Daphnia pulex: one gene and its partner. The protein of the gene in region 1 purifies or fractionates together with the protein of each later gene. This does not show direct contact. Links are inferred from orthologs where the notes say so. Each region holds a gene or a part of one and is shown on either strand. Other genes may lie near its edges.

The links. The genes of interacting proteins can lie anywhere in the genome.
Region 2: the proteins of cyclin-dependent kinase 20-like (region 1) and peptidyl-prolyl cis-trans isomerase FKBP8-like purify together in Homo sapiens (affinity purification with mass spectrometry; 5 studies listed by BioGRID and IntAct, with this or other methods). This does not show direct contact. The link is inferred for Daphnia pulex from reciprocal best matches to the Homo sapiens genes CDK20 and FKBP8.

What each region holds. Positions count from the first base shown.
Region 1 is NC_060017.1:8,162,109-8,166,876, forward strand, and holds cyclin-dependent kinase 20-like, read right to left. Parts: upstream 3,396-4,768; 5' UTR 3,300-3,395; coding exon 2,981-3,299; intron 2,910-2,980; coding exon 2,679-2,909; intron 2,621-2,678; coding exon 2,550-2,620; intron 2,483-2,549; coding exon 2,443-2,482; intron 2,376-2,442; coding exon 2,185-2,375; intron 2,121-2,184; coding exon 1,986-2,120; 3' UTR 1,952-1,985; downstream 1-1,951. Other genes in the region: gamma-soluble NSF attachment protein-like, read right to left, coding at 86-238, 317-375; uncharacterized protein LOC124193271, read right to left, coding at 1,136-1,237, 1,307-1,534, 1,594-1,608; general transcription and DNA repair factor IIH helicase subunit XPD-like, read left to right, coding at 3,487-3,491, 3,551-3,650, 3,722-3,976, 4,043-4,276, 4,338-4,461, 4,524-4,620, 4,681-4,768. UniProt on the Homo sapiens protein: Required for high-level Shh responses in the developing neural tube.
Region 2 is NC_060018.1:11,872,651-11,877,877, forward strand, and holds peptidyl-prolyl cis-trans isomerase FKBP8-like, read left to right. Parts: upstream 1-2,118; 5' UTR 2,119-2,248; coding exon 2,249-2,303; intron 2,304-2,403; coding exon 2,404-2,591; intron 2,592-2,680; coding exon 2,681-2,815; intron 2,816-2,913; coding exon 2,914-3,122; intron 3,123-3,188; coding exon 3,189-3,303; intron 3,304-3,363; coding exon 3,364-3,531; intron 3,532-3,596; coding exon 3,597-3,818; intron 3,819-3,876; coding exon 3,877-3,954; 3' UTR 3,955-4,160; downstream 4,161-5,227. Other genes in the region: UDP-glucosyltransferase 2-like, read left to right, coding at 1-957, 1,028-1,247, 1,339-1,636; RNA helicase Mov10l1-like, read right to left, coding at 4,238-5,227. UniProt on the Homo sapiens protein: Constitutively inactive PPiase, which becomes active when bound to calmodulin and calcium. Seems to act as a chaperone for BCL2, targets it to the mitochondria and modulates its phosphorylation state.

The DNA.
Region 1 (4,768 bases):
CCGAAACAACAACGTTCTTAACAAATTATAAAATCTCCCTACATTAATTATTCATAAAGAATAGTGAGTAACAGTAAAAGGATACGCTTTAGTTTGTTTGTAGCAATCTGAAGCTTTGTACAGACAATCCTTTGCCTTCTGTAGCTCTTTTGCAGTTTTGAAACATGTCGCAGCTTTATTGTAACTGTCGGCTGCCAATTCATAGTCAGGTTTCCATTTCAGCAAGGAAGTTTTTAAGCTAATGTGATTGATTTGGTGAAGAAAATGAAACAATATTAACATATCATCAAATGTAAACTTAACAGAAAAGACTTACTGTTTCTCTGCTTGTTGAACAAGTTCTGTTCCTTCCGAGGATTTCTTAGCTGCAGCCATATTAAAATTCACTAAAAACGATTCGGTAAAATAAGCCAAAGAAAACTGTACAGGTAATATCCTCCTAGTTCTTGTAACTAGCACAAGTTACACTCACCTGTCAAAACAATGTCTGCATCTTTTTTGCTGACGATCAAATCAATGGAATTGCAACGTTGTCGGATATATTTTCTGTTCGGTTATTCTCGCGTGAAGTTTTCGTGAATAATATGAACGCGCATAATAATCGTGAGACACGCACTGGAGCCATCACGTCCGATATTATTTATCACTGTTTTTATCACTTTGCCATTTTTCTCTCAAAAACCGACACGGGGACTTTGAAAGCATTTAAGTAAGAGTCACTCAAATGACCTATCAACTGGGAAGAATCGTGACTTGCACGATGAAACGCGCGATCTGAAAAATATGAATTATAGTTGGAATAGTTGCCCAATTATCTGTCGCTTGCGTGTTCAATTTCCATCTTATCACTGAGACCCTGAGACTTCTGAGTGAAAGTTCTGAGTTTGGTAACCGAGTAGGCCATCACTTATGTGGAAATGTATCGTTTTATAATTAACAAAAAACTAATTAATTTCGTTCACTTAATTTTTTATGTAAAAATTAAAAAAGTAGCATTGGAAATTCTGTTGAAACATTTAAAACAGTCACAATAAAATCAATAAATGTGGGCTGTATTTATGGTTTAAAATAGAAAGATAGTTGTTAACGGTTAAAATAAATGACAGTTTCTTTGGTCATACACGTTACTATGATATTATTGATGCTCTGGATACAAATTTGAATAATGCCACAGTGCAGGATTATTCCTTCCATTAGCATCGAGATTCGAGTACGGAGAGACACCACCGAGCATAACCTAGATTGAATGAAAGATGATCCTGTTAATGACAACCTTATTAACAATTTAATTTTACACCAAACTCACCTCAGGAACAGGGTTTGTTAACGGTTGTATGTATATTGGGTTGCTGGACCGATACTGCGGAACAACAACCACGGGGGCTCTCGGAGCAAACGCCGTAGGTTCTTTAACGTCCCTGGCATCAAAATCGAGAAATCCGAAAACTTTTTTAAGTTTTTCGCGCTTATTGGCTTCGCAGTTGTGTATACTGAAAATTAAGGTGAAAGAAAAGACCAGTGCGACGCAACCTTTCTGCATAGATAAGTTAGTTTCTAAAATAATATTGCGTAAATTTGTCAATAAAGTAGTACCTTATTAATATACATTTTGTGTTGCAAATTGAGTTTGGCGACAGAAATCGAAAGTTACAACACGTAGAGGACGAGCACACGTAGACTACTTTCAATTCAGCGCAGCACCTTCTTCTTGTGCCTTTATACTTCCACCTCCCCCCGTCCTCGGTGCTCCACCTCCCTACTTTCTCCGAGTATGAGATGGCATTTTTTCTCTACGTGACCTTTCTTAACGCTATAGGACGAAACCTTGACCTAATGAAAACTTTCTCCGCCAAGGGACATACCAACCAGTTCTAGTAGCGTAAAATATTCCCATTAAGATCTCCCCTCGCCAGCCAGCAGCAAATATAATAAAAATAAATGGCAGCACTCTGTCATTGAAAAAGTTGTTTTTTTGAGACTTTTATTTAAAAATGTGTAGAAGACCAGTCCCAGTTAACAAATTCAGCCGTTGCGGTATTCACTGATTTCTCGGTCGGGAGAGGCAGCTCTTCTATTGCTGTCATCAACGGATCTTCTTGAAAATATTTAGCTTCCAAAAACTGGTTGTCAATGCAAAGTTTTAATTAGATTTAAATTTTTAAAAGATAGAAGATTAGAAATGACCTGTTTAGCTGTTATTCGTGATTGGGGGCAATAGCGAAGAAATTGTTCCAGCATCGTTCGTGATGATTCGTCTACATCAATCAGGATTTTCTTAAAGGAGATTTGTTTCCGAGTTTTGGTAAATGAAATTTTGTGGAAATCTGGCAATGCTGATACACCTGGCCAATTTTCTTCGTCTGGAGTGCCTAGTACTATGTAATTACCCACAAAAGAGTTAATGCCATTCACCTTGATTATGATTACCGTATTGTTAATGACCTTGAATGACTGTGCACAGTTGGCCAATGTCATTTTCTCCCTAGGGTTTGATGGAAATCCGGATACTGTTACAACATATTATATTGACAACATTGGCCATTATTTACCGGAAAAAGGGGAGAATTCTTCAACATTTCACCAAAGATACAGCCCATAGCCCATAGGTCGACTTCCGGTCCTGTTGTGAAAAAGGTGTTAGAATTAACATGGCATTTTTAAATTAAAATGAAACTTGCCATAGTTGCGAGAACCATAGAGCAGTTCCGGTGCTCTGTACCACCGCGAAGCCACCTGATGTGTGAATAATCTTTGAGCCTTTTCGGAATGATTGAACGTACGACACAATCCGAAATCGGTCACTTTCAGTTCGCCTCGGGAACCAATCAGCAAATTGGCCGGCTTCAAATCCCGATGCATAATACCCAAACTATGAATATATTCCACAGCGCTGGCTAGCATCCACATGTCTAAATGGAAAGGATTGCATATTGGTTATTTGAATGCCTAAAATCTGATTGTAGAGATGTAAATATGGTACAGCTTTTCACGTGACTCGTCGGCAAAGGTTTGGAGTTGGAGCGCAAAAATTCGTAGAGATCTATTGGTAAATATTCAAAGACCAACACAAGCGAATATCCTTGTGGGAAATAGTCCACTAGGTTCACTACATATTCATGGCGGATCAGGCGAAGAGCCAGCAATTCACGAACAGCCGAGTTCGGCAATCCCTGCTCGTTAATGTTCTTCAACGCTATCCGTTTCATGGCGACCAGTTTCATTGTGGACTTGTCAATACCTTTAAGAACGATCCCGTGTGCCCCTTCCCCAATCCTGCCGTTCACAATATATCTTTCCATGAGATCGTTTAAAAAAACTAATCGCAACAAATATTTTTAAACAACAAATTGGTTGCCTTGACTACGCGCCATCTATTGGTAACCATTATCGACACGTGAAAAGGAAAATTAGTCTGCTAGAAATTTGAAGAAGAACAAGTGGCAAGCAACTTTATGTGCATGTTGTTGTAAACTTTCTCGTACAAAAATGAAGTAAATCCCGCACTTTTGTCAATTCAGAGACCACATTTAATTTATTTACATGTTCATAGATTAAATGTTGATGGACTCCTCGTCTACTTCCCTTACGATTACATATACCCGGAGCAGTTTTCATACATGCTCGAACTGAAACATGCTCTCGATGCAAAAGTATGTTGTATCGTCCAATACTAGTATAACTTGAAATTACATAAATATCTGTTGATGTTGGATCAATTCAGGGTCACTGTTTATTGGAAATGCCTTCTGGAACGGGGAAGACAACAACATTGCTATCATTAATTGTGGCCTACATGAAGGCTCACCCCCTTGATTTAACCAAACTAGTCTACTGTTCAAGAACTGTTCCTGAAATTGAAAAGGTTATGGAAGAATTGCGAAAATTAATGAATTACTACGAAAAAGAGATGGGCATGGAACAAAACATTCTTGGCTTGGCACTTAGCTCCAGAAAGAATCTCTGCATTCACCCCTCAGTAATATGAATTAAATAGTAAAAAGATTTAAAAGTATGGTTAATCAACAACACAATTACATAACAGGTCAGTAAGGAGAGAGAAGGAAAAGTAGTCGACGGGCGCTGTTACGGTCTCACGGCATCGTTTGTAAGAGCTCGTCATGCAGGTGATGACGCTGTGCCAGTATGCAACTTTTATGAAGGATTCGATGCTCATGGAAAAGAATTTCCGCTGCCTCCTGGGGTGTACAACCTGGACGATTTAAAGGAATATGGACAGGCCAAAGGATGGTGTCCTTATTTTCTTGCCCGATACACCGTTAGATCATGACATTTATAAAATATTGTACAACCAAATTAATACCAAATTTAAATTATAGATAACTCACGCCAACATTGTGGTGTACAGCTATCATTACTTACTTGATCCCAAGATTGCAGAAGTCGTTTCCAAGGAAATTTCAAAAACTAGCGTCGTTGTCTTTGATGAAGCCCACAATATTGGTAATTTTACTGAAACGTAACCTCTTAAAATTGCCCTACTAATTAAATATTGGTTTTTCTAGATAATGTCTGTATAGATTCGATGAGCGTCAAGATAACGAAACGTCTGCTGGATAAATGCTCCAATAGCATTCAAATTCTGGAAACCACCATTTCAAAGTAATCACAACTGGATGTGCATGATTAATTTCAGAGTTGTTAACTTTTTTAACTCTTTAGCATGAAAGAAAATGACAACAGAAGGTTGGAGAAGGAATACCAAAGGCTAGTTGAAGGATTGCGAGATGCTAACATAGCGAGAGAAACT
Region 2 (5,227 bases), on another chromosome or scaffold:
GTCGAGGACATGACATCACCGTCGTCACCAATTATTTCACCGCCGAATTTTCCCAGCTGGATGGTAATAACGTTCGCGAAATCGTCCTCGACCAATTAACCGTCGACATGTCCCAGTATCCCAACGCCTTCGACAGTTTACTTTCATCGTCCAATCATTGGTGGAACCTGGGCTTTTCTCACCTGCTGCTTCTCAGCATGTTCAGGTACACCCGCCAGGTTACCGAGGCCCTTTACGGCGACGCCAGAGTCCAGCAGATGATGGCCAACGATCAATTCGATCTGGTGATCGCCTCACAGGTACTGAGCACGGCCAGCGCTCCGCTGGCCTGGCACTTTCAAGCGCCGCTGATTGTGACCAGTCCCAACACTCTTTTCGCGGGCATGGCCACCGTGCTGGGCGATGATGAGCACACGAGTTACGTGCCGTTCGTCTTCACTCGCTACACCGATCAGATGAATCTGGCACAGAGAACCATCAACACCGTAGTCACGAAAATGTGCACGTTCTTACAGCAATTGTACGAAGAATTGACGATCCCGGCCATCGTCAAGGAGACGGGCGGCATCACGGGCTGCCCGCCCGTTCAGAACATCATTAGAAATGTGACAATGGTCTTCACTAATAGCCACCCGAGTTTCACTTATCCAAGATCTCTGCCGCCGCAAGTCGTCGAAGTGGGCGGACTCCATTGCCGGCCGGCCCAGGCTCTGCCCAGCCATTTGGAGACTTTCTTATCATCGGGACGATCGGACGACGGCGGCGGTTTCTTGCTCTTCAGCGTGGGCAGCCTACAGCGAATGGAAGACATGCCCGAACGGGTTATCCAGTCGTTCATCGGGACCTTCGCACGTTTGCCCGGCGTGCGGGTCGTTTGGCAATGGAAGGGCAAAAGGAGGACAGATTTACCTTCAAACGTTTTGGCCATTCCTTGGTTGCCGCAACAAGATCTTTTAGGTAATACAATAATCTGAAAATTATAGGAACATTTCATTTTTAATCGGTATTCATTTAATTTAATTGACAGGACATTCTGGCTGTCGGGGTTTTATCACTCACGGAGGACTCAACAGTTTACAGGAAGCCATTTTTCACGGTGTACCCGTACTGGGATTGCCTTTCGGCATTGATCAGTATTTAAATTTAGCTCGGGCCGTGAATGACGGTTACGCATTGCAGCTTGAATGGAGGGATATCGACGAAAGTACCTTGAGCGCAGCCATTGAGAAGTTGCTGTTTAATCGCAGGTATTATTTATTACGCAACGATTTCCGCTGAAAGCCTTGGACTATGTATAATTTTGTTTTTATCGTTTTTCGTTCGTGAATTTTTGTGCAGCTTTTCGATCGCTGCGAAAAGATTGTCCGGCCTTTTGCGTGATCAATTACAGTCGCCGTTAGAACGTGCCGTTTTCTGGACCGAGTACGTGATTCGTCATAATGGATCGATGGACCACTTGCGATTGGGATCCCGCAAATTGGCACCTTACCAGCGTTCGCTGATTGATGTGTACCTCGTGTTAGTTCTGATCGCCAGTCTTCCACTCTGGCTCGTTTTCTTGTGTTTGCGTTGCTGCTGGTCTACTAATAAAACCAAGGCGGCAACTGCAATGTCAAAGAAAAGCAAGCAAGAGTAGTAGAACCTAGATTTTAAGAGTCAAGTTTTCCAGGAACTTGTATAAATTGCTTGAGCAATGAATAAATTTATTCCTTCTTTTTCACGAAGCAAAGTGTTTCAACATGAACAATTTAACAGATAAGAAAATTCTTACAACATTTTGACGTCGATTTGACGTTCGTTTTCCCCAGCTCAGATCTTTGTCACTACTTAACAAGTGATACTCTAGAGACATTTATTTTAGTTTTAAAGATATTGCGTATCAAATTTTTATACTGTTAAAGAAGTAGGATTGTACTTATTTGTTGAATTATCTTAAACGACAGAAGATTTATGAAGCGACAAACACACAAAACTCAACTTTCAAATATTTATAGATGTTTAGCAAATATTTGCATACTAATCCGTGAGATATAAACATAATAGCAAATAGCGTAGATACCAACTAGTTTCGATTTCGATTGATTTTGTAAAGATTTTGAGTTTCAAAAAGGCCGGTCGACGTTCTACCGTCGTGGCGTCGTCTGCTAGTAGTCTGTAGCCTGTCAATAAAAATCTGGTTCTTTAGTAACTGCTGGCTGGTATCAAATAAACTCTTCTAGAACACTCGGTTACCTGAAAGTTCATCATCATGGAAGAGTCTACTGAAACCAAAGAAACTGTCCAAGAGATTGTTACACCCGAAGGTTTGTTTCAACTATTGAAATATTTCAAGAATAGTTTCCTTCAATTTCAAGTCACGTATTTTCGGTTCGTTTGGTTGGCTGACGTTGCTTACGCATTCAGGTCAGGTTAGTGAGGATACCAAAGAGCATGAAGACAGCCAAAAAATTAAAGTTCCAGACCCGAGCATTGATGAAGAGGCTGGAAAGATGCAACCTTTGGAAACTCCAGACAAGGATAATATCGAAGACACAACATTGATTGAAGGGGCCTGGGCTGATATTTTGGGCAGTGGTCAGTTGAAAAAGAAGGTGAATTTAGCTTAAATGCATGATCTTTGTATATGTTTATCATCAATTACAGTAAGTGATGACAAACTCATTTTGTTCATCAATTACAGACCGTCAAAAAGGGAATACCAAACACCAGACCAACAACCAATGAAATATGCACAATTAAAATCTCTGGCCAACTTGTAGATGGTAAAGCTGTTGATGTTCAAGAAAAGTTCTCTTTCCAACTTGGAGACTTGGAGGTATAAAGTTTAGCATTAATTTAAACTGTAAATGTGTGACAATAATTGAGAGAGAAAGCAGAGTATATATTTTACTGATTCATATGCTTTCAATCCAGGTTATTCAAGGCATCGATCTCATCGTTGCATTGATGGACTGTCACGAAATCAGTCAAGTGGAGGTTCAGCCACGTTTTGCTTATGGAAGTCTCGGAAATGGCAAAGATATTCCACCGGAGGCCACCATTCTTTACACAATTGAACTGCTAGAGGTATCTAAAGAAACAGATTTAGAATTGGTCAACATCGACGAAAGACTCCGGATAGGGTAAGCACCGTCAAATATATTCCGAGCGAGCAATACGGTGAATTCCAACATGTATATTACTTGCAGAAACGCTAAACGCGAACGTGGCAACTGGTGGTACAGCAGAGGAGATTTCACGTCATCTATTCAGTGTTATCGGAGAGCCTTGGATTATCTCGACACAGAAAATGAAACAGAAACGGTACAAATTTGGCTTCTTAACGTTATTTGGGATTTGCATAGATTGTTCTTCTTTCAATAGGATTCTCCAGAGAAATTGCAAGAGATCTTGGATGACCGGCTAAAAGTCTACAATAACATGGCAGCAGCACAAATGAAAATCGAGGCCTACGATGCAGCTCTGAAATCAGTGGACAATGTTTTGAGATGCCAGAAAGACAATGTGAAGGCAATCTACCGCAAATCCAAGGTTTGTGCACCGTTTTTATTCTAAAAAATCAACCGCTATTTATTTGTCTGACATTTTTCAAACAGATTGTTACGGCCATGGGTAAAATGGGCGAAGGAATAGCACTGTTGGAGAGGGCTTTACATCTCGATCCATCCACCAAAATCGTCCAGCAAGATTTAATGCGCCTGCAAGCCAAGCAGAAATTGGAAGTTCAGAAGGAGAAGTCTTTATACAAGAAAATGTTCAATCTGAATTCTACACCAGCACCCACCACTTCGCAAGGAAAGCCCAAAGTTAAGCTGACGGTCAGTTGAAATGGGAGGCTTTTTCTCTTTTTCAAATTAATTAATTTACATTTAAAAGGTGCCATGGACATTGATGATCGGTGCAGTGACTGCAGTCGTTGCCAGCTACGTTACATACCGTTTCAAACTCTTCTAAAATATTTGTTGGTGGTTCGTGTGTAAGCTGCTGATCAAATATGAAGTTGCTTTGGAAAATTTCAAGGCCTATCGACCGGTTTAAGTTAAAAAAAAAAAAATTATTCGTCATCAGTTTGAATGGAATCATTCCCTTATCTTGTTCGTAACTTTAAGTGGCCGCAATCATTTCTTTTTGCGAAAAAGTAATAAATGCCTTCCTTAAAACGCTTTAGAAACCCTTAAATTGATGAAAATATTCCTTGTATTGTATTTCTTATTACACACACAATAATGTTTGATCATTACAAATCAGGTAAATCACAGCCGGTGTAAGCGCCTAGTTGAGCACAGTGTTTGAGGAATGGACCCCAATGTTCATCGTGGACAAGTAAATGTGGATTTCCGATGACAATCAACAGAGATTTAGCACGAGTGACAGTGACATTGAATCGCTTGGGACTGCGGAGGAATCCCAAATGCTGGATGACGTCTTGATCGACGTAATACTCGTGTGAGCGAACGGTACTCACGATAATGACGTCCCTCTCTTGGCCTTGGAACTCTTCGACAGAGCCCACTTTGAACGGGACTAGATCGTTGGACTTGATGAAACTGCGGATCTTTTCAACCTGTTTGCGATAGGGTGTGATGACACCGACGTTGATTGGATCCACCTTGGCGTTGAGGAGCAGCTGCAAGTAGCGGATGACGTGGTAGACCTCAGCCGGATTGCACCAAGAGGGACTGTCAGTTTCCTGATAGTTTTCACCGCGGATGCCGTGGAAGAGCAGAGGAATTCCAGGTTTGGGCAACCAACTGAAATGGGCCATCTTTTCGGCCGTCTCCACTGGTGCACAGGACACGAGCTCATTTTCATAAAACATCAAAGAAGGCAAAGTTAGGAGCGAAGGATGAGACCGATAATTGCGGACAAGCTTCGTCAGTAGATTGGGGTTGTAGTGGCCACTGTCGGCGAACGATTTGCTGCGCGAGTAGAGCGGATTGTTCGACAATCGTTCCAGCAAGGAAAGGCTTAATCCATAGGAAGAAGAATGCTGACTCATTAACACAGGTCCCAGCTGCTTAGGATCTCCGGCTAGAATGATCTGTCCCGGATTGGAATCGCAGCGAATCAGGCCGACCGAGACTAGAGTTTCCGGCTCAGTGGCCTGTCCAGCTTCGTCGATAAAGAGGTGAGTGAAATGTCCGATCTGAAGGCACATGGTGTAAACCTTTCCTGACGTAGTGCACGTCGTGACTAGAATGCGGTGGCGAATAGCCTTTTGAAGTTC